7 linked regions of the Danio rerio genome follow. The protein of the gene in region 4 interacts with the protein of the main gene of each other region in a biochemical or structural test. Links are inferred from orthologs where the notes say so. Each region holds a gene or a part of one and is shown on either strand. Other genes may lie near its edges.

What was found.
Region 1: the proteins of rela (region 4) and tbp form a complex in vitro, tested with the Homo sapiens proteins (2 studies listed by BioGRID). The link is inferred for Danio rerio from reciprocal best matches to the Homo sapiens genes RELA and TBP.
Region 2: the proteins of rela (region 4) and esr1 form a complex in vitro, tested with the Homo sapiens proteins (3 studies listed by BioGRID and IntAct). The link is inferred for Danio rerio from reciprocal best matches to the Homo sapiens genes RELA and ESR1.
Region 3: of the proteins of rela (region 4) and prkcz, one has a biochemical effect on the other in vitro, tested with the Homo sapiens proteins (2 studies listed by BioGRID). The link is inferred for Danio rerio from reciprocal best matches to the Homo sapiens genes RELA and PRKCZ.
Region 5: the proteins of rela (region 4) and ing4 form a complex in vitro, tested with the Homo sapiens proteins (3 studies listed by BioGRID, with this or other methods). The link is inferred for Danio rerio from reciprocal best matches to the Homo sapiens genes RELA and ING4.
Region 6: of the proteins of rela (region 4) and setd7, one has a biochemical effect on the other in vitro, tested with the Homo sapiens proteins (3 studies listed by BioGRID and IntAct, with this or other methods). The link is inferred for Danio rerio from reciprocal best matches to the Homo sapiens genes RELA and SETD7.
Region 7: the proteins of rela (region 4) and parp1 form a complex in vitro, tested with the Homo sapiens proteins (2 studies listed by BioGRID). The link is inferred for Danio rerio from reciprocal best matches to the Homo sapiens genes RELA and PARP1.

Annotation. Positions count from the first base shown.
Region 1 is NC_133188.1:27,603,467-27,606,966, reverse strand, and holds part of tbp (TATA-box-binding protein), read left to right. Parts: intron 1-1,714; coding exon 1,715-2,046; intron 2,047-2,166; coding exon 2,167-2,254; intron 2,255-3,500. UniProt on the Homo sapiens protein: The TFIID basal transcription factor complex plays a major role in the initiation of RNA polymerase II (Pol II)-dependent transcription.
Region 2 is NC_133195.1:29,083,446-29,086,945, forward strand, and holds part of esr1 (estrogen receptor), read right to left. Parts: intron 1,890-3,500; coding exon 1,773-1,889; intron 1-1,772.
Region 3 is NC_133183.1:19,585,326-19,589,355, forward strand, and holds the start of prkcz (protein kinase C zeta type), read right to left. Parts: upstream 2,801-4,030; 5' UTR 2,324-2,800; coding exon 2,059-2,323; intron 1-2,058. UniProt on the Homo sapiens protein: Calcium- and diacylglycerol-independent serine/threonine-protein kinase that functions in phosphatidylinositol 3-kinase (PI3K) pathway and mitogen-activated protein (MAP) kinase cascade, and is involved in NF-kappa-B activation, mitogenic signaling, cell proliferation, cell polarity, inflammatory response and maintenance of long-term potentiation (LTP).
Region 4 is NC_133182.1:1,073,541-1,077,040, forward strand, and holds part of rela (transcription factor p65), read right to left. Parts: intron 1,343-3,500; coding exon 1,208-1,342; intron 1,073-1,207; coding exon 968-1,072; intron 709-967; coding exon 493-708; intron 1-492. UniProt on the Homo sapiens protein: NF-kappa-B is a pleiotropic transcription factor present in almost all cell types and is the endpoint of a series of signal transduction events that are initiated by a vast array of stimuli related to many biological processes such as inflammation, immunity, differentiation, cell growth, tumorigenesis and apoptosis.
Region 5 is NC_133194.1:10,614,127-10,618,137, forward strand, and holds the start of ing4 (inhibitor of growth protein 4), read right to left. Parts: upstream 2,801-4,011; 5' UTR 2,773-2,800; coding exon 2,736-2,772; intron 1,909-2,735; coding exon 1,837-1,908; intron 1,711-1,836; coding exon 1,544-1,710; intron 1-1,543. Other genes in the region: uncharacterized protein fam131ba, read left to right, coding at 2,934-2,951, 3,334-3,378, 3,611-3,695.
Region 6 is NC_133189.1:50,828,359-50,831,858, reverse strand, and holds part of setd7 (histone-lysine N-methyltransferase SETD7), read left to right. Parts: intron 1-821; coding exon 822-1,011; intron 1,012-2,339; coding exon 2,340-2,421; exon of another isoform or gene 2,422-2,446; intron 2,447-2,625; coding exon 2,626-2,743; intron 2,744-2,836; coding exon 2,837-2,994; intron 2,995-3,500. UniProt on the Homo sapiens protein: Histone methyltransferase that specifically monomethylates 'Lys-4' of histone H3. H3 'Lys-4' methylation represents a specific tag for epigenetic transcriptional activation.
Region 7 is NC_133195.1:46,988,145-46,991,644, reverse strand, and holds part of parp1 (poly [ADP-ribose] polymerase 1), read right to left. Parts: coding exon 3,476-3,500; intron 3,313-3,475; coding exon 3,184-3,312; intron 3,082-3,183; coding exon 2,983-3,081; intron 1,338-2,982; coding exon 1,185-1,337; intron 592-1,184; coding exon 464-591; intron 1-463. UniProt on the Homo sapiens protein: Poly-ADP-ribosyltransferase that mediates poly-ADP-ribosylation of proteins and plays a key role in DNA repair.

The sequences.
Region 1 (3,500 bases), on a different chromosome or scaffold from region 4:
TGCACCTTATGGATGTTTAATAAATGTTTTTAAAATAAAACTATTCTCTGTGTCTTTAAGTGTTTAATAAACCATCACATTTTTGGCTTTATTATATGAGATATTTTCAGTTTTAGATTAAAAGTGTAATATGTATGTCTATTTTAGTATTTTGTTCATTGGTAATAAATAGTGCACCAATATAGATCAAATCAAAAACCATAAAGGATGAGGGAACCGTGTACTGAGAGCGCGCAAGAAAATTTGTGTGTAAGCAGTGCATATTTGAGAGTGAGCAAAGTTGCATGCAAGCAACGTATTATATTTGGGAGCTCACACGCAGTTTTGTCTACAAACAGAGGAAATCGGTGCACGAGCAAAGAGATTCACTTGCTCGTATTACTTGAATATGCTCTTCACTTGTAATACTGCACTCTGAACATTTGTCAGTCAGTGAAATAACGCCACAGCGGAGCTAATGGAATTTTTTGAGACTTGGGTGAACCGTTCACGGAGCACCACATTTGATTTGAGTTGAATTTAAAACACTATGAAGAGATTTTGTCTGAAACGAGTACATCTGTCTGTAACGACATCTTTATGATCCGTCCATGCATGATCATAGGGTGAACCAGATGACCAATAAATCTTGGCTAGAAATTTCAACAGCAGTGAGGAAAGGAGGAAAGTTTTTGTAGAAGTTTGGAAAAATCTAAAGAAGATGTTTGTTAAAAAAAAAAAAAAAAAGAGGCCCCCAAAAACATTCTTAATGATATTAATTATCTTTTTATTCGTCTGATTTTGTCTGTTTTTTTTTACCGCCCCCTGTCATTTAACAGAATATCTCAATGGCAAATGCACCAAGTATAAAAGCCTCATCCATTTCAAGAGGTGCAATGCAAGACTACTATGGACATTTTTAATGAACCAAATCACTTTTATTGTCACATCATCAGCAGCACATGTACCATGATGAGAATGACGGAATACAACGACATACTCCAAAATAAAAACAGTATACAATTAGCAATGTTGACCGTAATGCGTAGAAGACAATGAAGAGGTGTATACACAGTCTGACTGTCCTCATGCACCGCCTGGTGTAGATGCCCTGGAAGAAGGGAAGCTCACCTCCTACCATGCGGCCAACAGTTTGCACAATCCTATGCAGACCTTTGCGATTGCTGCTGTTTCCATACCAGGTTCTGATGCAGCCAGTCAGGATGCTCTCCATAGTGCAGATGTAGGAGCGAAGGATGTGGGGGCTCATTCCAAACCACCTGAGAAAGAAGAGGAATTGTTGTTGTCTTTTTCTCAGCACTAACAACGCCTCTTCTTCCTCAGGCGTCTCAGGATGGAGGAGAGACATTTTGAGTGGTTGCTGTTTTGAGATATCCAGACCTGTATGACTTCACAAATTTTGATTATCACAATGTTATTAAATATTACAGTTATGACAATAACAACAGCAACACTCATGCACAAAATACAGCTTATTCAGTTTTTTTTTTTTTTAAAGCACACCTAACTTTTCAAAAAAGGCAACGCAATGCACCTTGAATGAAAAAGCAGATTTGATTTTTGTCAACCCCAAAATCTGCAGAGCATTAATGCTTTCAAAAAAACTTCAAAAACATGGGCCAAAGTTTTGTATTCTAGCCTTTACATAATACATATTTTTCAGTTATGTATTGATGTATCAAATCATCTAATTTGCCTTTTTTCAATTCATAAGGGAGCCATGACGCCTGGCCTGCCCATTTTCAGTCCTATGATGCCGTATGGGACGGGCCTCACACCGCAGCCTGTGCAGAACTCCAACAGCTTGTCCCTCCTGGAGGAGCAGCAGCGACAACAGCAGCAGCAGCAGGCGGCCTCACAGCAGCAAGGTGGGATGGTGGGAGGTTCAGGCCAGACGCCCCAGCTTTACCACTCAACACAAGCCGTCTCCACAACAACAGCTCTGCCAGGCAACACACCACTTTATACCACACCCCTCACCCCTATGACGCCTATCACTCCTGCCACACCGGCCTCCGAGAGCTCTGGCATCGTCCCGCAGTTACAGTCAGTGTCCTTTCTCAATTAACAATCCTGTCAGAGATGTTGATTTGCGGTTCAGACAAACACATTGATTTTGTAAGAAATATTGGACTATCATGTTTAAAGTGTGTATTTATTTTTAAGGAATATTGTGTCCACCGTAAACTTGGGGTGCAAACTTGATTTGAAGACGATAGCACTTCGAGCCAGAAATGCTGAATATAATCCAAAGGTAAGACTTCTTGTTTTGTTTGGAATTGGCCTATTTATTTATTTGCTTGGAGTTATTAGTTGTTCATTACAAATGTTGTAAATCCTAAAACAGGGTATCTGTGAGGTCTTAAATGTATTAAAAGGTGATTAAATCAATTTAGAGAAATGTAAGGCCCTTAAAAAGTATTAAATGTTGCTTTATAAAGTATTAAGTTTTGTATCAGTATACTATTCTAAAGTTTGCCTGAATTTAATCTGTGAATATTGGGATTCGGTTTATGAAATGAATAAAGTCCCGCTGGAGTTCACATCACACTGCTTTGTGCAATGCAGTAACCAAGGAAACACTGTTACTCCTGTAACAAGATGGTTCAAGATTCATTTATTGGTCACATTCTATAGAACCATTACATAACATGAACCACCAAAAGAACTAGAGCGAAAACAAACAAACTAATTAATCTCGAAAATGAAAACACTAAGCCAACATCAAAAATATCAAACAGTAATCTTAAACTAGATTCTTAAAGTTTGAGAACAAACTTTGAGGCTGGCTTGTGAAAGCCTGACGGTAATAGTTTATTTAAACAGTTTTAAAAAGTATGAAAAGATAGATAGATAGATAGATAGATAGATAGATAGATAGATAGATAGATAGATAGATAGATAGATAGATAGATAGATAGATAGATAGATAGATAGATAGATAGATAGATGTTGTTAGCATGATTCTAGCATGAATTAGCATAATGTTAGCATGATTCTAGCATGAATTAGCATGTTGTTAGCATGATTCTAGCATGAATTAGCATGTTGTTAGCATGATTCTAGCATGAATTAGCATGTTGTTAGCATGATTCTAGCATGAATTAGCATGTTACTAGCATGATTCTAGTATGAATTAGCATGTTACTAGCACGATTCTAGCATGAATTAGCATGTTACTAGCATGATTCTAGCATGAATTAGCATGTACCTAGCATGATTTTAACATGAATTAGCATGTTACTAGCATGATTTTAGCATGAATTAGCACGATTCTAGCATGAATTAGCATGTTGTTAGCATGATTCTAGCATGAATTAGCATGTTACTAGCATGATTCTAGCATGAATTATCATGTTGTTAGCATGATTCTAGCATGAATTAGTATGTTACTAGCATGATTCTAGCATGAATTAGCATGTTACTAGCATGATTCTAGCATGAATTAGCATGTTGTTAGCACGATTCTAGCATGAATTAGCATTTGACTAGCATGATTC
Region 2 (3,500 bases), on a different chromosome or scaffold from region 4:
AAAACTTGTCAGTCAAAATGTAATAAAGTGGAATAAAATCAATCAAAAATATTTTATTTACCTTTATATATATATACATACATACATGCATATATGCTCACTGGCCAATTTATTATGTACCCCTGTCCAACTGCTCTTTAACACAAATTTCTAATCAGCCAATCACATTGCAGAAACTCAATGCATTTAGGTATGTTGACATGGTCAAGACGAACTGCTGCAGTTCAAACTGAGCATCAGAATGGGGAAGAATGATGATTTAAGTAACTTTAAAAGTGGCATGGTTGTTGGTCTGAGAATTTCAGAAACTGCTGATCTACTGGGACTTTCATGCACAACCATCTCAAGGGTTTAAAGGTAATGGTCAGAAAAAGAGAAAATTTCCAGTGAGCAGCAGTTTGTGGGTGCAAATGCCTTGTTGATGCCAGAGGTCAGAGGAAAATGGCCAGACTGGTTCCAGCTTATAGTAAGACAACAGTAACTCAAATAACCACTCGTTACAACTGAACTAAGGTATACAGAAGAGCATCTCTGAACGCACAACACGTCCAATCTGTCAGCTAAGAGCAGGAAACTGAGGCTAAAGTTTGCACAGACTAACCAAAATTAGACAATAGAAGATTCAAAAACGTTGCCTGATCTGATGAGTCTTGATTTCTGCTGTGACAATCGGATTGTAGGGTCAGAATTTGGCGTCAACAACATGAAAGCATGGATTCATCTTGCCTTGAATCAATGGTTTAGGCTGGTGGTGGTGTAATGGTGTGGGGGATATTTTCTTGGCTCACTTTGGACCCATTAGTTCCAACTGAGCATTGTTTCAACGCCACAATCTGAGTATTGTTGTACTTATTGAAGGACCCATCTTCTGATGAGCACCTTTGGGATGTGGTGGAATGGATTCGCATTATGGATGTGCAGCAACTGCATGATGCTATCATGTCAATATGGACCAAAATCTCTGAGGAATGTTTCCAGTACCTTGTCGAATATATGCCACGAAAGATTAAGGCAGGTCTGAATTTAAAGAAGGTAGTAAGGTGTACCTAATAAAATGGCCAGTAATTATATATATATATATATATATATATATATATATATATATATATATATATATATATATATATATATATATATATATATATATATGTATGTATATAATGTAGGCTATTAGCAGCTAAATTTCTACTAATGGAATCTGCAAATAGAATGATGCATAACATACATAAATACATATTTATATACACACAAACACATGCAAAACAGTATCTTCTCTCACATTTTTGTAAATAGTTTTTTGCAAATATTTCAATATATTTTTTTCATGTAACAGCACTGAGAAGAATTACACAGCTACAATGTAAGCTCAAATTTGAATAGCTGTGTGTTGAGCTATTTTGAGGGGACAGCTGATTTACTCAGTTATACAAGCTGAGTACTCAGTACTTTACATTGTAGTAAAGTGGGATTTTACAATGCTGTCACATGAAAATATATATAATTTTTACAAAAATGTGAGGGCTGTACTCACTTCTATAAGTTACTTTGTGTATATGTCTAATCATATTTATGTAAATATAATATATACAGTCAAGCACGAGGATGAATAATTTTGGAGAAGATCCCTTTTAATTTCGAATTTTGCTCAATTCTTGACACTGGGAGAAACTCTACAGAGGCTGCTTTAAATCATGATCAAATGACAGATGATATTTACATATAGATGGAGAGGAAAAGAAAAAAATAGTAATATATATATATATAAAATGTACCTCCTTTCATCATGCCTACTTCATAACACTTGCGCAGTCTGCATGCTTGGCAGCTCTTTCGACGGTTTCTGTCAATAGTGCACTGGTTGGTCGCTGGACAAACATAGTCATTGTGACCTAAAGGTGGAGAAATAAAGCAGTGCTTGTTTTTCATCATTCTTAAGCAATCATGCTCAAACAATAAAATGCACAAGTAGAAACTCATGCCAGATCTTTCTTCAGCTCAGCTTTCAGAGAGGTTTTCCTTCAGAAACTTTGTATTAGCAAAATGTAAATACTGTTCCGTCACAAGCAACAAAGAGTGCAGTGCAGCGCATCAACAGCTTTGGATCTGATTAGGAGCTGAGAGCAGGTACACGCTGTTCCCGCTCTCCAAATGAAATTTTAAATTAGATGAGTGCGTCGCAGCCAGAAATGTCACAGACCGACACAAACACACTGACTGCTAAACCGCTGTATAAAACCACTTCAATAATGAGGTATAATAAGAGAATCTGCAACAGAGAATCCTAAACATTCATATGAAAAAGTGTATGTGAAGAAGGTTATTGTGGCAGTAAGCCAGTTTGGGTGGCTGTGAAGTCGACCTTGGAACTGTAAAAAGCAATTCACAATGTTCGTTAGAAAATCTCAGGGTACTCCCTGAATCACTAATGCATAAAACAGCACCTCTAAAAAATGAACAAGAGGAAGATATTACACTTCATTCACATTTAACACAAAGTCAGTACAATTTAGTACACATAATAATACTAATTAATATTAAATGTGTTTACAGCATATAAAAAAGATTACTTCCCGAGAGTCTAGCATCCTATTTTATTTATTTTTCACGAAGTTCAAACCATGGAGGTAATGCAGACTATAAAATGGCACCACTCAGAGTACACATTAGAGTATGGCCATTCTTTACATTTTTAATTCTCCTAGATAATGTGCACTAGTGTCACCACTAAAACGTTGCGTTTATTATACGTTGTAGAAATTAAGTTTGGTTTTGTAAGTTATTTAACAGTGTCTCATATTAATCCTTGTGTACTGTTGGGGATGTTTTCATCTACTCTGGGCTGATTTTTAGTATTCATTTGGCCACAACTTTTTCAGCTAGCAAAATGATTTCTGGTGACGAATCTTATTTTGACACATATTTTGAGAAAATGCTTTAAATAAAAAACAAAAACCTCAACAATAGCCTCTGTGCAAATTTACTACCCTTTTGTTATGTTCGAGATGAACACATCCACTAAATTAGACTCCTGTAAAAATGCATCAGATAAATATTTTTTTTTCTTTTATTTTGCATAAATCTGTTAATCAACCTCAGTTCTGATCAAAACTACTAAATTGGTTAGAAAAATTACAGGATTTTAACTCTTTAATAGCCAAATGTATAAGCAATGTCAATGATTTGGTGAAAAGAAAAAAATTCTATAAAAAATTAACTGTGAAATAAAACATGTGAAACAAAATTGCCTTTGATTAATTGTTTTGGGTGATTTTCATTTTTTTTCTTCCTAATTTTTTGTTGCTGGCTGTTTTTCCCCCATTGACTTGTATTATAACCACATGTTTTAATTGAAAAGCCATGACACCATATTATGCATTTTTGATTTGAAAAGAGGTCAAATTAGTCATTTGTACTGTTGATCAATAGTTGGCACCAAATTCTTCAGATAGGCCTGTGCAAAAAAAGCTTAGTTTCTGGATTTAATAAGGAGTATAACAGCA
Region 3 (4,030 bases), on a different chromosome or scaffold from region 4:
TTATGGCTGTTTTACACATTATCATTCTCTGAATAACGATCGTCCGATTCCGCTAGTCTTCTGAAGTAATTCACAACTTGGTCTTAATGGCGAATCTGTTTACTAGTTTGTGGGGCATAGTTTGAGTTCTTGCTGCTTTCATGTGATGTGGCTCCTGTACTAGTAGGCGGGGCTTCATTCACCATATTGACATTTACGCTTTTCCCCATTCAAAAGTATACGACTGACATGTCTGGAGTATTCTAGAGTCTTTGATACTATATACTGAATTCAAAAACTCTTGTTAATAGTGATACCAGTGGCCATTCAGTGAATGACAGCCAGAAACTTATTGCAAGTACTAACACAACTGCACAGGTTTATAGAAAAGACTGAACATGAACCTTGGCAAACAGCTTGCAGTTCATGTCAGCCAATTAGTTTTCCTGCCACTCGAAAATAAACATTGCAGAGGGCATACAATGATTAACAAGAAATAAACAAACACGACTAACGGCTAACTCACAGCTCTACAGAAAGTTGAATATCCAACCGGCTGGTGCAGAAGCTGAGAGAAGATCATGTGAGCTCTACTAATGCTCTTATTGGCTGTTGCTAACGAAAGTCGTTCTTCATTTGGATAAGGTTGAAGGATTCTCAGCTTTTTTGTATTGCTGGACATCCACACATACAGTCACCAACAGTTGTTGTCACTTGTATAGTTGGGAGAATGCCAGAAGTCTCTAGCTCTCCATTGATATGAATAGTCAATTGTTGCTTTGTCCCTGCTGGTCTTTAGTAGTTTGAATTGTGATCAAGACATTAAAGTTTTTTGTTATTTGAGAACCGATTGTATCATTGCAAGATGGATACTGCTAACAAAATAAAGGAAGATTGATGAATGGACAAAAGTAAGGAGACATGTCCCTCCCAAAAGCCTTTCCATGTGACCTGAAGTGAAGAAAAGTCATTTCAGGGGAAAGGGAAGGTTATGGTATTTAATCTTTACAAAATAATGAAGCACACACAGCCATCATTTATAGTATAAAAAAAATAGGAAGACAAAATTTTAATTTGATTGCAACTTTAATTTATTACCAGTCATGATTATTTGTTTTGATTTGCTTGTGTATGTTTTCTGACTCTCAAAAGGTGCCCGTAATCATTGACCTGCATTTTATAAATCAACTACAGTTTCAGCTAACAACATTCTATAGTGTTCTGCTTAAGAATCTGCTTTAGTTCTGTTAGGTGACCAACACCTTTAAAAACAGCATCCCGCATTTATTACATCAGGACTGGACCACCACCAGCCAAGTTATAAATAACCAAACGCATCAATAACCCTTCACAGATTTGTTAGAAGACATTTACTTCGCATCATCAGGGTTCTCCCGAGCAGGCGCTGGTGTGCTGCAGTGGCCATATTTAGATTTATTGCCAATCAATACTGGAACAGGTGGATCATATGACATCCCAACACAGACACTGCAGCTAAAAACAGCAACACCGAGCAGCATTTAAGACACAAACCACTCAAAAACTGCTGCTTTTGGCTGCAACACACCAAGGACAAGTTGGAGACTTAATGCACCATGAAAACAAACCAAACAGGGTTCATTGAGCCAAAGCTCAACCGGACTCCCAGTGTGTCTGCAGGTCCATCTGATACAAAAATCAACTCAGAAATGAATCTAACGTCATTCGACAACAGTATCAGGATCCTGGCGTTCCAACCGAACACAATTCCCCTTTGTTACTCCCCAAGAACGTTAGAAACAAACTAACATGAATGTGACTCCTTGTGTCTTCAGTCACGGGAGAGATGCAGAGCCTCGTGTTTGGGTGCATCGTGGCCAAGAGCTGCTGGATAACTGACATCTCGCTAATTATGACAGTCAGACTTAAATAATGCATGAGCATCTATTTTAACCAACCTCTTTGGAAATAGCGAAGGGATGTGATAAACCAATCATAATGACACAAATCAGAGTCGCCAGCCCACATTTCCATCTATTAGTTAGCCCTAAACTCTTAATAATATGCACACAATAGCCTGATAGAGCGCCGTTCACATACCGTCAGCCTTCTTAGGATGCATCGGGTCTCCGGCACCAAGAGCTAAGAGAGTGTGTCTGTGTCTTCCTTTGTGTGTGAAAGCTAAATGAAAGGATGCTAGCTGCTCTCTGGAAGTCTGACTAAACATGCCAGGTAGGCAAATCGCACACACATACACCAACACTGCCGCACTCGCCAACAGGTTCAGACCCGAGAGTGGCAAGCGAAAGACGAGCCATCGAGTCACCGCAAGGTGGGATGAGAATAAACAGAATGCATCAAACATGCAGGCACACGGCGGATTCGCCTTCGCATCCGCACGCACACACAAAATGAGATGGAAGGGGTGGACAAAATGGGAAAGATGTCGACGTTGCGGTGCTCACCGGTATCTTCCTGTTTTCTGCTCGTTTCAGCACATTTTCCCCTGGCAGCCTCCAAACGACGCACCGGCTACATCCCCTCCTCCCTCGCCGTCTCCTCTGTTCACTCAATCTCTCCTCTTCCTTGCGACTTATTTAATTATTTCTCCCCCTCCCTGCCGCTCCGTCGCTCCCTGCGTGCGGTCGTTACAGCTGGCTGTCCTTGTATAGGCTGCGTCCTCGATGGATGGATGGATGGATGGATGGATGGATGGATGGATTGATGGAACGGGCAGCTCTGCTGGAAGCCCTAATTGAGACGGGCGGCACAAACAAAAGGAGGGAGTTCCTGCAACACAGAACGGATATTTTTGCTACGGTGCCTGGCTCTGCTCTGCACTCTTCGCCTCTCTTCTCTATTATTTCACTCTCTCGTCCTTTTCTCTCTCTCTCACTCTCATCCTTTCGTCAGGGTGTAGCTGAGTCCCCAGAGAGCCGGTGGCAAACAGCTGAGGGGCCCGCTGGAAAACGTGGCATGGAGCGCGAGGGAGCGGAGCATCAGGGTGGATGGTGAAAGAGCTTAGTGTGTGGTGTATGAGAAGGAGGAGGAGGATGGTTGATAATGGCTGGGACTTTTTGATAATTAGTGGTAATCTGAATAAATTTGATACTTAATGTATTACAATTTCGCCACTTACTGTTTGTGGCATGGACATAAATAATACCTTAATTTAGCCAGACTCTTGAGGAAAGCAAGTTGTGGTGGATGATAAAAAAATAATTATACTTAAGCGAGTTACATTAAATAAAGAATATATAGATAAAGTCAGACTTATTAGCCCACCTGAATAATTAGCCCCCCTGTTTATTTTTTCCCAAATTTCGGCTTTTCAACACATTTCTAAACACAATCGTTTTAATAACTCATTTCTAACAACTGACTTCTTTTATCTTTGTCATGATGACAGTAAATAATATTTTACTAGATATTTTTCAAGACACTTTTATAGAGCTTAAAGTAAAATGTAAAGGCTTAACTAGGTTAATTAGGTTTACTAGGCAGGTTAGGGTAATTAGGGAAGTTATTGTATAACAATGGTTTGTTCTGTAGACTATCGAAAAAAAAATAGCTTAAAGGGGCTAATCATTTTGACCTTAAAATGTTTTTTAAAATGTAAAAAACTGCTTTTATTCTAGCTGAAATAAAACAAATAAGACTTTCTCCAGAAAAAAATATTATCAGACAAACGGTGAAAATTTCCCTGCTCTGTTAAACATCATTTGAGAAAAATTTTAAAAAAGAAAAAAATTCAAAGGGGGTTTAATAGTTCTGACTTCAACAGTATATTGCTTAAGACGCCAAATACGTTTGACCTTAAAATATTTTACTACAAAAAAATGCTTTTCAAAACAACTTTTATTCTAGCCAAAATTAAACTAATTTCCGAAAAAAAAAATATTAAAAGGAATTGTATAAAATCCCTTGCTCTGTATTCATCGTTTGGTAAGCATTTAAATAAGAAAAAATTCAAAGGAGGACTGATTAATGTGACTTCAACTGTACATTATGTAATAAAGACTTGGAAGTACACTTTGTAACCAAGCATCCAAAGCAACATAGCAACCACCTA
Region 4 (3,500 bases):
CATTGCAGTAATAACACAGTAATATTGCCATAATATTGCTGTAATAATGTCATAATGCAGTAATAACGTAGTAATAATGCGGTAATGTAGTAATAATGCTGTAACAACACTTAATTAACACTGTAATGATGCAGTAATGTATTAATAATGCAGTAATAACAAGTAATTAACCCCGTAATAATGCGGTAATGTAGTAATAATGCAGTAATAACACTCAACACCGTAATAATGCGGTAATGTAGTAATAATGCAGTAATAATACTTAATTAACACCGTAATAATGCGGTAATGTAGAAATAATGCATTAATAACACTTAATTAACACTAATAATTCAGTAATGTAGTAATTATGCTGTAATAACAGTTTATTAACCATAATAATGCAGTAATAATACTTAATTAACCATAATAATGCAGTAATAACACTTAGTTAACACTGTAATAACTAGGTATTAATGCAGTATGTAATGGCAACACTGTAATAAAGCTCACCCGGGTCTGAGGGCAGGTACTGGAAGTCCATGGGCTCGCTGACCTCGCGGTCAGATGGTCTGCGCAGCTGCATCTTGACACGCAGCGGCTCGGTCAGGTTAGTGTCGCAGTAGGGCGGCGTGCGGAACACTATCGCCACCTGCCGGTGCACATCAGCCTGAGAGAACGAGCCCTTACTCTCCCACGAGTCCAGGAAGAAGCGCACCTCAATGTCCTCTGAAACACACACACACACAGCATTTTAACCCAGCCCTATGAACAATATTAATACTGAAAATGATCAGTATAAATAAATATATGAATGAATCAAACGTTCAGTGAGACAGTATATGAGCGATGCTGAAACAGGCTGTGTGTGTGTCTCTGTGCTTTTGTGTGTTTATGTGTCTGATTGAGAGTGTGTGTTTGTCTTTAAGTATCCGTGTCTGTCTCTGTATTTGTGTGTGTGTGTGTCTCTGCAGTGCCACACACACACCTTTCTGTACTTTATCACACAGCAGGAAAATCTCGTCTCCTCCTCGACAGCTGCCGGAGTTTCTATTGACACGGCAGATCTTCAGCTCAGCAGTGTTAGGAGCTCCTGCAGGACACAAACACAGAGTTACACACACACAAACACACACATAGATGCACATACAGAAACACAAACAGATACACACAAACGCATACAGATGCACAAACAGACACACACACACACACACACACACAGTCGTACTGTTGTCGTATATCGGCTGAGAGACGACGGGCTCCAGAGGGAACAGATCTCCGCTGCTCAGGGTGATGGAGACCTGGAAACACAGACGCACCGCGTTCAGGTCGAACTCCTCCTCCCAGATCTTTGCGTCAGGAACTACACACACACACATGCACACGTGCAGAGAGAGAGAGAGAATCCAGGTTGCAGATTAACAGTTATGTGTTTGTAAAATGTCATTCACAAATACAGAATGACACAAAAATAAACAAATGTAATTTTGATCCCGCTTGCTTTTGAAGCGTTGTTGATCGAGTTCTTAAATGCCTATGATTGATCACACGCTCAACAGAGAGGGCTGCGATTGGCTCTAATGGTCAGCGCGACTTTGGTGTTGTTCAGCAAACAGTGACACGGACACTGATGTTAATCGGCCGCGGCGATCAGCTGGTCCATTATAGACGGCGTCGCGGTGGAGAAAACTCGCTCGGCAGACATGGTCGTAACGTTACGTTACAAGTACTGTTATTGTTGTAGCAGCTGAGAGAGGAAATAAAACAGACCCCCTAGTTTTGTGCGATTCTGTGATCGCTGAATCCAACGCAAAAATCAACAAAAAGTCGCACATTTTTGCGATTCTGCAAAATTCTTATTTAAACGCAAAATAATCAAAACAAATTTAAATCTTATTAAACAACAAATTCCAAACCAAATTATATTTGTATTTGCAATTGAGTGTGTCACATGACTTATAGATGTTGCATACGCAGCACACGAGATCAATTTAAGTGTCTCTCGAAAAACGGCGTCTCACCTGCGCCCTCACAATCATTACAGTACATGAAAGCCAGGTGGCGGCGTTTTGCAGCATGTGCAGTAAACAGACGCAGATTAAGTGCGAGTGATTTACATGTGAAGTCAATGCAAAGATGCGATTAGGCATCCTGTGGCGCAAATTGTGCGTTTGACGCGCTGTAAAATAAAGTGTGAGCAAACATCTAACAAACAGAGCAACAGAGCAGACAAAACAGCAGCAGCTTACAATGACGGAGATTGGTTGAGGGATGACTTTAGCAAAGAATAAATAAATAAACAAAAGATTTCAATAAAATAAATTCGCGAAACACTAGAGGGTCTGATAAAACAAAACCTCACGAACACGCCAGCAGGTCAAAGGGACTACAGAGAGTGAGAGAGAGCTGGGTTCTGTTGTACTTCCCTCTCAGTGACAGACTGTCCAGCAAACTCACAAGCAGTCAATTGTGCACAGTTTCTGCTTTGTAAGTTGTTGAAGCAGTTTTAATTACTCACAGCCTCCTCCCTCGCTATAGTAAGCTACCGCCATATAGCGCATGTGTGATAAATGACGTCAGTATATAATAAGCGGTTATGATTATTACTAAACCAATAACACACTGTTCACGTCTGATTCTCAGTGCATTGAAGAAACAATGAATTCTGACAGCCCTAGTAACTTATACATACTACTAATTACTACTGACACTACTACTGAGGACTAGGCCCACACGGAATCTGCACACGCAGAAATCTGCAGATTTCCAGCCCATGGCTGAGTCTATTTAGTTACTTGTGTGAATGTGTGTAATCTTATATTTATTCAGTTTTTAAATAAATTCAGTAATAATGTTGACGAGTATTAAAATATTGACATGATTTATTCACAATACAGCTGTCTTGTCTTAGATCTATTATATGAGAGACTTGCTTTGATTACCAAACAAGTGGATCTAATTGGATTTGCATAGTAAACAGTAAATAAAAGTTTAAAATGCATTATTTGTTGACTTCATATATTAAGTTTTTAGTTACGATACTACTACAATCCTTCCGCATAAATCTGCAGAATTTTTACTAAATTCTCAGCAGAAATAGTAAAAGATGTCAGAAGAATCTGTCTGGCCCTACTAATAACTGTATATACTGATGAAGTCAGAATTATTCACCCCCCCCCCCCTTCTTTTTTAAATATTTTCCAAATGATGTTGAACAGATTGAGGAAATGTTCACAGTATGTCTGATAATATTTTTTCTTCTGGAGAAAGTCTTATTTGTTGTATTTCGGCAAGAATAAAAGCAGTTTTTAATTTTTTAAACACCATTTTAGGTCAATATTATTAGCCCCTTTAAGCTATATTTGTTTTCAACAGTCTACAGAACAAACCACTGTTATACAATAACCTGCCTAATTCCCCTAACCTGCCTAATTAACTTAATTACCCTAGTGAAGCCTTTAAATGTCACTTTAAGCTGTATACTAGTGTCTTGAAGAATATCTAGTCTAATATTATTTACT
Region 5 (4,011 bases), on a different chromosome or scaffold from region 4:
TAAGAGTGAAATGATTTTGTTCGGCCCGTCAAACTCTTCCAGAGCCCCAATGGTTAATCTAGAAAAATTAAGTTTTTTTATGAAGCCCTGGATAAAATATCAAGGTGTAATTCTGGATGATGGCTTAAGATTTGACAAACAGTTAAATGCAGTGGTCATTTCCTGCTTTTTTCAGCTTCAACTTTTAAAAACTGTCAAATTTATTTTATCTAGAAAAAAGTTTGGAAAAAAATAATCCATGCTTTTATTACTACTAGAATGGACTATTGTAATCCTGGTTACAATTAGTATAAAATGTTGCTGCAAGGCTTTTAACAGGTACCAAGAAACATGACACACAACACGCATTACACCAGTTTTACGCTCTTTGCACTGGCTGCCTGTGCACTATAGAGTAACTTTTAAAATGCTTCTCTCGGTTGTTAAATCTCTAAATGGCCTGGCAACTTCTTATCTGTCAGACATGTTAATTGAGCATCAGCCTGGTCTGTCTCTTCGGTCTTCTAACCAGAAACTGTTGTGCATACCTGGGTCAAGGCTGAAATGCAGAGGTGACCGTGCCTTCGCAGTAGCTGGTTCTAGGTTGTCCTACAGCACAACACGACATGTTTGCTATTGCAACCGGTCTTTTTTTGCAACTGGTATGCGTGGTTGAACCTGTGTGACATCATGTGTGATGTAGGTTGGTAATTCCCCCATACATTCTTCTGTTTAATGTCATCATCTGAAATGTCTTCCTACTGCCGAAGTTATATCTTGTCATCGTATACTTGATTTATGTTCACTAATTCGCAATTTCAAATAACGTGATGACTTCCCTTTATATATATATATATATATATATATATATATATATATATATATATATATATATATATATATATATATGTATATAATAATGCAGTTTTTTGTTTTATTATTTTTACCTGTTACTTGATTCTAAAATTCTTTATACTTTACTAGATTCTGACATGCGGCACAATTTCTGCATGGAAAACAAACTTGTATAAAAGTAGATTTATTATTTCTTACTAAATCTGAATTATCATCATATCTGATAAATTTTGGGGATTTTTTAAAAGTAAATAAAAAATATAGAGTAAATAGTGAGTACATTTAATTTTTTGGTGAATTATCACTTAAACAAATAGAAGAATAGAAAAAATAGTTAAAAAAACTAAAAAGATAATAGAAATAAAAATGACAACCTACAAAATATCAACAAAATTTAAATTATTATTATTTTTTGCTTCTCTTAAAATTTGTCAAATTTGCATTTAATATTTTTTTTATAACATATCAATTTGGGTGTACTAGTTTTTGGAGCATGATCATAAGTTATTTTGTTAAATGAGTTCCAGGTTTGGCTTCAGTACTGATAATCTAATCTGTATATACACAAATATAATATTGTATAGCTTTCTATTAAAAATAAGAATTTAAAAGAGAGATTTGAGAAGTGTACTTGTATATGCTGAGCACTGTATATATATATCTACTTTTTTTTCTATTTAGCAAAGAGCAAATGCAGATTTTCACTAACCATCTCATAGGTTTGCATCGCAAGCTGCACCTTGTCATCTCCGAACTCTTTGCACTTCCCATAAGACTGCTGGATCTGTCTTAACAGCGAGAGCTTCTGTTCAGATGACAGTGTCCGAGCATTAGCGGTGTATTCACGAGCCAGAGAATCAATCTGCCCTTTCAGATCTGCAGAAACAAGAGATGTAAACAAACAACCATTTAAAAGAGATGTACCATTTTATAGAAGAAATAATAGAGTCAGGAAATAAAGTAACAGCACGCATTATAAAAGATATTACTACACCGACTCACCCTCTGTCCTCTGGTCCAGATCTCGCATCAGCTGGAAGTTTCTTTGCAGCTCAAATGGCAGATTCTCGATGCCTAAATAGATCAAGTGACATATGAGTCTTCAGCACCACCATGAAGATTCAGGTAAAATTGGCTTTATATTCTCACATTTATACTTTGGAGTCCAAGAAAATAGTGAAGCAGAAATTAAAAAGGCTAATGCAGATTCGTTATAATGACAAATTGTTATAAACACAACGTGACTACTTGTTGTGACACAGTAGCTATATTGTTTACCAGCCTACTTTAAATATTTAGTCTGAATTCGCATGTAAATATGACTTTAAAACAACATTAGCACTAATTTACTGACTGTAAATAATGTACTTTGATAGTAACTGGCTGCTAATTTTATATCCTTATTTAAAATTAGCAAATAATACTTTTTTGAAACTATATTAATGAGGTAAAAGTCCAAATGTGCTAAAATAAAACCAACTTTACACCAATAACACAAAGCATCTAAGACCCACAATTCTGTGTACATTTTAAAAATGGCACTAAATAAACTATTTGTTATCTCGACAGGGCTAAACACTTTATTTGAAGCTTAACAATGTGCTCCAGGGTTTATTTATGTTTATCATTTCAATACATTAATAGTAGAAACATCACATCCTGTCACAGTAACACTACAATTAAGCGATAAACCGTCGCTGACATCATAACACTGTTCATAGCCTGTTAGCAGAAGCTACTGATCGCAATAACGCGTAATAAAGCGCTGCTTTGTCTCGTTACGTGGTCGTTTTTATAGTAAATGGCGTGTGTATGTGAAACTTGCAGGCATGCTTGACAATCTAAACACGGACGATGTTTATTTGTGGGGATAAATATCAAAATGAAGACAATAGTCTTACTGTCCAAATAGTGCTCTAGATACATTCCAGCCGCCATCTTGACAAACACAAACAAAGGTTCTTCCGGTTTTGCCGGAAGTTCTCGGGGGCCATGCTCATGAGGAGGAGGGGTCCTGAATGGGGTGTCTGTTGACCCCTTTCATGTCATTTATCTGCTTTGAAGGTGTCTTGAAACGGAATGACTAAACTGCTCCTTGGATGTTCAAAGATAAAAAGGTGAGAATATATTGAGGGATTTATTTTGGGGTGGTTGAAATGCTAAATTACATGACAGTATCTCAAATTTTGAAACAATTTTGACTTAATTTAGCATCACAATACATTTTATGAATAGCTTTGCTCGACTTATTTTTATTTTTTTGCCATTTCATCTGAATTTCAACATTGTGAAGTGTAGTCAAATTAAGCTTTTTAAGAAAAACTGAAACAAATGAAGCTTTTATTTTGTCCCTTAAACAATATTATCGAAAAAGTTGCTATTTAACATAGACACCATTTTCCCTCACAAAATGAAACAGTCTATAAAATGATTTATTTTTATTTTAAAAAAATTTTTGGACACAATGTTTGTGAGTTAACTTTTTAAAATATATTTTAGATCACGCCTTACAGAAAGAAGGTTGCTGGTTCGAGTCCCGGCTGGGTCAGTTGGCATTTCTGCGTGGAGTTTGCATGTGAAGAGTTTAGATACAAAAACCTCTAAATGCCATTTGATATGTACTTCTAAAATAGCATTTTCTCCTGTGTGTAGGTTCAGTCATTTTGACTACAAATAAGTTATTTTCTTTGCCTTTACAGTGAAATAACTGAACATAATTCCAGGAGGCTTTTAAAAAATGCTTATTTTTGGACAAAATATCAGGTGTAATTTATAGGTTTTTGCATCTGAAGTCTTCATGTCCTCTTCGGGTTTCCTCCAAGTGCTCCAGAGTCCAAAGACATGCGCTACAGGTGAATTGGGTAAGCAAAACTGTCTGTAGTGTATGTGCGTAAGTCCTGGTCCTCCAGGTTTGGGGGTTGAGCGTTGCCCTAACAACTCATCTTGTAAAAATTAGATGTCACAAAACACCAACATGATGCTAAACATCAACTTCGATATAAACGGCCCGGGGAGTAAGTATCACATAGGACTTTAATAGGATAGTTCACCCAATGGGAGATCTTTTTGAAGAATGTTGTAAACCGGTATCCGTTGTGAATAAATACTGTGAAAGTCAGTGTCTACCAATTTTTTTCCATTGTGTACAGCAAAAAAAAAAAAAAAGTTTTGGAACCA
Region 6 (3,500 bases), on a different chromosome or scaffold from region 4:
CCGTGACGTGTCTCATAGCTCGTGCTTGACTCTGGCAGGTCTGGCAGGTCTCATGAATAATTAAGCAGCCGGCTCTTCTTATAGGATAAGAAAACTCCGCTATGAATAATAATGAGAAACCGACGCGTCATCATTGCACTTGCAGTACTGCGCTACGTCGCCGATTTTGATCCCACCCCAAAAATCATTTTAAACCCGGAAGCTGAAATTAGCTGACAAAAGCTCAAAATTATCCAGTTTTCCCCACAATTAAAGCTGACAGGTGCTAACATTGTCTTAACTGATGCTCAACACACACAAATCTGTTAATATATAAAAAAAAAGTTTTCCAGGGTGTCCTGAACCTTTAACAAGGCATTTGTGCCCACTGAACTGCCGCTCACTGGATATTTTCTCTTTTTCGGACCATTCTCTGATCTGATCAACATTCATAGTCACTTAAACCCCCTGTCTTCCCCATTCTGATGCTTGCTTTGAACTGCCATGTCTACATGCCTAAATGCTTTGAGTTGCTGCCATGTGATTGGCTGATTATCAATGTGCTTTATCGAGCACTTGGACAGGTGTACCTAATAAAGTGGCCGGTGAGTGTATATACACATATGTATTGTGTGTGTGTGTGTGTGTGTGTTTAATTTGTTTCTATTTGTTTATACATTTGTTTGTTTTTTTGTATTTGTTTATCTGTCTTTTTGTATTTGTTTTTTTTATATTTTACCTGATATTGAAATTGTTTCTTAATATTTGTTTGTGAGAGTTGCATGTATGTAGGAAAAGTGCTATAAAAATAAAAATGTAATACTATCGTCTGTTGGGTAAAGGATGGAGCCTGTGTTGTGGGAGAAGTGAATGAAGAAGGAGAAATGACTGGAAAGGCAGTGGCTTATGTGTACCCTGATGGCCGTACGGCTCTGTATGGCTCTTTTGTTGACGGAGAGCTGATCGAGGCTCGGCTTGCGACTCTTACAACCCAAGAGAACAGCCGGCCGCACTTCACTGTTGATCCAGATAGTAAGCAATACTTTTATTTACAGTCTCATAAATCTTATCTGAAGATTACCCTTTGCATTGTATGTTGTGTTGTTTAAGGCAGTGTTTTACTCCTCCCAAAATGTAAAAAAGTAAAGAAAGCGTGTTATGCCGAGTTCTGACTTCATGATTTTAGCTCGGATTTTGACTCGCCGACAGGTTTTGAGAAATCGCAGACAAATGCCTGAAATCTCAGGCAAATCGTTCCTTGTTTACGTGAGTGACAATCACCCAGTGTGAATTATCAAAGACACGAACTTATAGAATTGCAGATGAGTCACCAACACGGTGAGATTACTGGCATGCTAAATATCTGGAGCTGTCAGCGATGCAAAATCATGCCGTGTGAAATGTGTTCTGATTGAAAATAACACCGGCGATTACTTACAGCCAATGAGAGAGCAGCATCCACTGGTGTGGGTATTTGCAGACCAGCAGGAGGTTGGGGGAGAAGTTAAAAGGGCTCATGTTCATTTTTCTATTTAAATCCAGCAAAGGGGTTTATATATATATTAATATAAAATATATTATTAAATCTGAAATGCTTAAAGCACAATTTGTTTCATATTTTTATTCTATTGTATTGATTTCTCTTTATTTGTATTTATTATCTTTCATTATATAACAGTAGTTTCTTCTGCAATTAAAAATATATATTGCCTAGAGGGGCTAATAATATTGACCTTAATAGAGGATTCAAAATATTTAAATCTGCTTTTATTCTAGCCAAAACAAAACAAATAAGCCTTTCGACAGAAGAAAAATATTACAGTGAATACTGTTAAAAATCCTTGCTCTGTTAAACATCATTTGGGAAATATTTATTTTAAAAAATTCTCAGGAGTGCTAATAATTTTGATTTCAACTAATAATCGTTTGAAATAATCGTGATTACAGTTATGACCAAAATAATCGTGATTATTATTTTTCCCAAAATCGAGCTGTCCTAGCCCAATGTGTTCTTAATCCGGCCCTGTCTGCTGCGTAAAACATATGCCAGAATAGTTGGCGGTTAATTACGCTGTGGCGACCCCTGATAAATAAGGGACTAAGCCGAATTAAAATTAATGAATGTGTAAGCTTACATTTTTGTAAATAATAATGCTAATTGTTATTGTGCACATGACACTCGACGTAACCTAGTGAAATTTGCATATTGCACAGGACTTGATTAACAGAATCATATCCGTTTAGCAGAGACGTATTCATGTGGTCAAAAGTAAATCGAACCGTTTTCAAAAATCAGAAAAACAAGCTATCCGATCAGAAAAAACTGCATAAATTTGATCTTTTTCTCTCATTCATTTCAGGTCCTATTTACTGCTATGATAAATCCACTTCATCCTGTATCGCTGGTCATAAACTGCTGCCTGACCCCTACGAAAGTCAACGGTTGGTGCAAGCTGTGATCAACCATGTAAACCCCAATCTATCAAATCTGGTTTTGCATTGAAAACATGTGCTTGTTTGTTCCAGTGATGGATTGTCTTGTCATTTCACCAGGATATTCAGCTGGTTCTGTACTATAGTATTGCACATGTCATCACCTTGTTGATTTCAAGCTGAAATGGTTTTATTTTTATGTTGGTTGAACAGTGTGTATGTGGGACAGTCGCTTATTTCCGGAGCTGGAGAAGGGCTTTTTGCACAAACGGAGGCTGAGGCTAACACTGTGATGGCTTTTTATAATGGTGTCCGCATTACACACACTGAGGTTTGATTGGTTGTGTTTTACAGCATTCAAGGCTAGAATTTACTTGATGAATGATGTGCTGAATTATTTTTATATCTGTGCTTAAATAAACAGGTGGACAGTCGTGATTGGTCCATGAATGGGAACACCATTTCATTGGACGAGGACACTGTGATTGACGTTCCTGCACCTTTTAATATGACAGAGAATTATTGTGGATCTCTTGGTCACAAGGCCAATCACTCCTTCTCTCCCAACTGCAAATACGACCAGTGAGTCTGAATATATTCTATTCTCTATGGTTATAATCCATTAAAAGTCCCCAATAGGTCGGAAGAATTACTCAGACTGTCCTGTCTGACACAAACACTCATGCCATATTCCAAAATAATCACATTTCTTCCCTATTTTGATGCTCTGTTAAAACTTTAACTGATGGTCTTGACCAGGGCTACATGACTAACTGCATTGAATTGCTGCCAAGTACTTGGCTGCTTAGATAACTGCATTGACAGGTAGTTGAACAGGTGTACCTAATAATGTGTCCATTAAATATATGCAAGTTTTAAGCCGTGGTCACACTGCACTTTTTCCCCATAGACTTCCATTCATATGCAAGCGAATGTGGCAGACCAGAAATGCAAGCTGGTGCGACAAGTTTCCCACGTCGCTGCATTGGAAAGTTCAAGCTCTGACCTGCGAAATCACATCATTATTCGAAGATCAAAAACGTGACCTCTTTGTACAGAAATTTTAAATATGGACCAGTCGCTCACTT
Region 7 (3,500 bases), on a different chromosome or scaffold from region 4:
TACAATGCTACAAAAGAATTACATATAGTTACAAGCAAGTTAAATGTACACTATCAGACCAAAGTCTTGTCACCTATCCAAGTTTATGATAACTTGTTCATTTGGTATCAAAAGTGGCTTATATAAAAGTCAAAGGCCTCTAGATTACGCTTATTTTACCAAAACCAAACATGATCATGCCTTGATTTTTAATGATTTAATTAGGACAGTAAGATCTGACTTTGCTTAGACAAAAGTCTTGCCGCTTAACAGAAATAATGTCCAATGTAGAATATAAAGTCATGGTGCAGTGGAAAAAGAATGAATATTGTGTATAACTCTCATGAGCTTGGAGGACTGCATCCATACATCTCTGCAAACTCAAATACTTGATTAATCAAGTCATCTGGAATAGCAAATAAAGGGTTCTTGCAGGACTACCAGAGATCATCAAGATTCTTTGGATTAATCTTTAATGACTTACATGTTCCCTAATGCAACCTCTCCTAACAGAATGAGGCCCACAGGATCAGCCTGAGACGTGTGGCAGTAGTTGGCACTCTTCGACACCATATCAGCAAAGTAAACACCTTTGCCAAACATGTAACCCGTCTGTATGAAAGATCACATAACAGTTTAGATATCATAGGAGAACAACAACAACAACAAAAAAACAATGAACAGTGCAGCACCATAGATCAAGAAAGAAATGGCTCTAATGCAGCTATTCATCAAATGGACCCTTTTCACATTTCCGGGTTTCTCAGAAGCAGAAGTCATCATAGTTGGAAAAACTTAGAGCGCAGTGAATAAGAGACTACAACAAGTAATGAGTAATGTTTTTACAATCCTATTTGCTGAAATATTTAAAGAAAAAATTGATTATGGTGTTATCAAGACTTTCAGAGAAAGAAAAAAAATATTGTGAGACTGATAACAGCAGCCAGAAAAAAAGAACAAGGTCAAATTTACTGTCCCGCCCCATAGACTTTGTATTGCAAACACTTTGCATAAGCGGCAATTAGTTTTTTTTTTGTAATTTGATGCAAAGATGATATAACATATATGAATACATATAAATGTTCATATGCTTTTTTTATCAAGATATTAAAAACTTTATTGGATTTAAGATGCTGATGACTGTTACACACATTATAACAGTCCTGTGAAAAGGGCCAATCTTAAGATAAAAGAAAGAAACTCACCACTGGGGCCTCCGGAGGAGCGATGCGGAGACCCTGAGACAGAATACCAGCATAGTTGGTGGTGCGCGAGCCGTGCCACAGCAGCTGGCGGTTGGGTAACTCTTTGAAGGGGCGATAACGCTGATACTCGCCCTCCCTCTCAATCTTAAAGATCTATGATGCAAAGACACAGCAGATGGAGATAACAGCGTGTTATTTTACAGCTATGGTATATGTACTAAAAATGGGGAAATGTGTGAAAAGTTTGCTTTTGAAAATCTGGGAATTAATCAAAACTTCAAACAATTTTTATACATTACACATTTTTTTTTAAATTTACAGTTTTTATTGAATACATCAGGCTCTTATGGCTCAAAAACTACAACAACTACATTAAGGACTTGAGGAAGAAACAAAAACTAAACAACAACTGATGCAATGTGGTTTCAAAAGATCGAAGATTACCCTTTGATTGTAACATTATAACATTAGTTTGAATAAAGTGCAGAGACAGTTGAAATCAAAATTGTTATTCCTTTAAATATTTCCCTATCCCAAATAAAATTTAAGAGAACATTTTTCACAGTATCAAGTCTTATTTCTTTTAGTCTGATTGGAATAAACGTTTTCAACGTCTAAGGTCAATATTATTAGCCCCCTTAATTTTTATTGGCTACAGAACCAACCACTTTTTTCCAATTACTTGACTTATAAGCTTAACTTGCCTTGTTAACCTAATTAACCCTTATTAAATAACTAGTAAAATATTCCATACCGTCATCATGGCAAAGACAAAAGAAATTAGTTATTAAACCATTAAAATTATAAAAAGTTATTCTCCCCTTTATACATCACTAGGAAAACATCTGAAAAATAAAAATGTATAAAATCTGAAAATGATCCTGCATCCTGTTAAATCTCTATGCCACAAGGTATTTCTAAAAGGGAAAAGAGTGTCTAACACAGTTGCTGTACATTTTTTACAGATAAATTTGAGATCTTGTAAAACACGATTAACTAAAAATGAATACTCTACATTAGGTATGGAGGACCAGGAGAGACGGTTAGAAATAAAATAAAGAATAAAATAATCAATTTAGTAATTGAAGCATTAAAATAAGTATGAATCACAATTTAAATGAACAAATAATGGAAAAATAAATCTACATATTTAAATGTGTTTTTAAATGACATGAAAGCAATAAAACAATGCATTTATAAATAACTTTTAAATGTATAAATAAATAGACAATTTTATGAATGTTTATTTAATTCATGTCCTAAACCGCTGATTAATCAACCAATGAAAAAGTGCATTAATAAATAATTTAAAATGCAATTAAATGCATAATTTAAATAGCTTTTTTAAGAGGCATTTGACAAATGCTTTTCTCGAGTTGAAAATAAATTGAGTTAAAAAATGCCGTTGGACCGCTCTCACTTGTAAATGAAAAATATTAGCGGGAAGCCAAAGCTCATTTTAGCAGGAGTTTAAACATCAGCGAAGCGGCTCAAATGTTAGGGTATTATGAACAAGTTTTGAGACGGTTTGTGGATGATTTAGTAGCTTTAGCTGATTTCTGTTAAAGAAATTCTCATCTGGATTAAGTCGATGCGTTTAGTAGTTCAAGTCGAAAATTTTTAAATGAAACACCCAAAGTTACATGAAACTCCGGAGGAAATGTGGTGGCTCGAGATCATGAGGAACATTCAAAACCAACTCATGTAAACACCATAATCATCTTATTGTTTTATTCATATCAAGGGAAAAATTGAGATTACTGATGTCCATGTAAATGTAGTGAGTGTTTAATCTCACCTCCTCAACATCCAGTGTGTAGGTGTTGTGAGTAGCAGCATGTGTGTTCTTCACATATTGAAGGATAAGCTGAGCCTCATGTGAAGACTTGTCGACGACCTACAAGCAAACAAAACAAATCAACATCAATCACTACAGCGCGACTTCACTGTGGTAACCATACACAAAACTTTATAGCTCTTGCAGTCAAAGCCATTTTACCTCAATTTTGGTTTTGAGTTTCTCATAGTTGATGTCAATGGGATCTTTTTCGTTGTTCTCCACTCCTCCCCGAAGCAGGCTGTAGGCCACCTCGATGTCCAAAAGGTTGTCCAGCATCTGCACCTTTTGCTGTTATGGATACACAACAGGCTTGAGTACATAATAATAATATTAATAATTATAATATTAAAATACCTTTAAGGCGTCTTTTAAAACCACTCAAGGTCAATGTACATAATTATCTCCATAAGGCCTTCACTGAGACATGTTATGATGGTTACACAAGTCTTACCTGGATGTAATCCACATTACTCAAT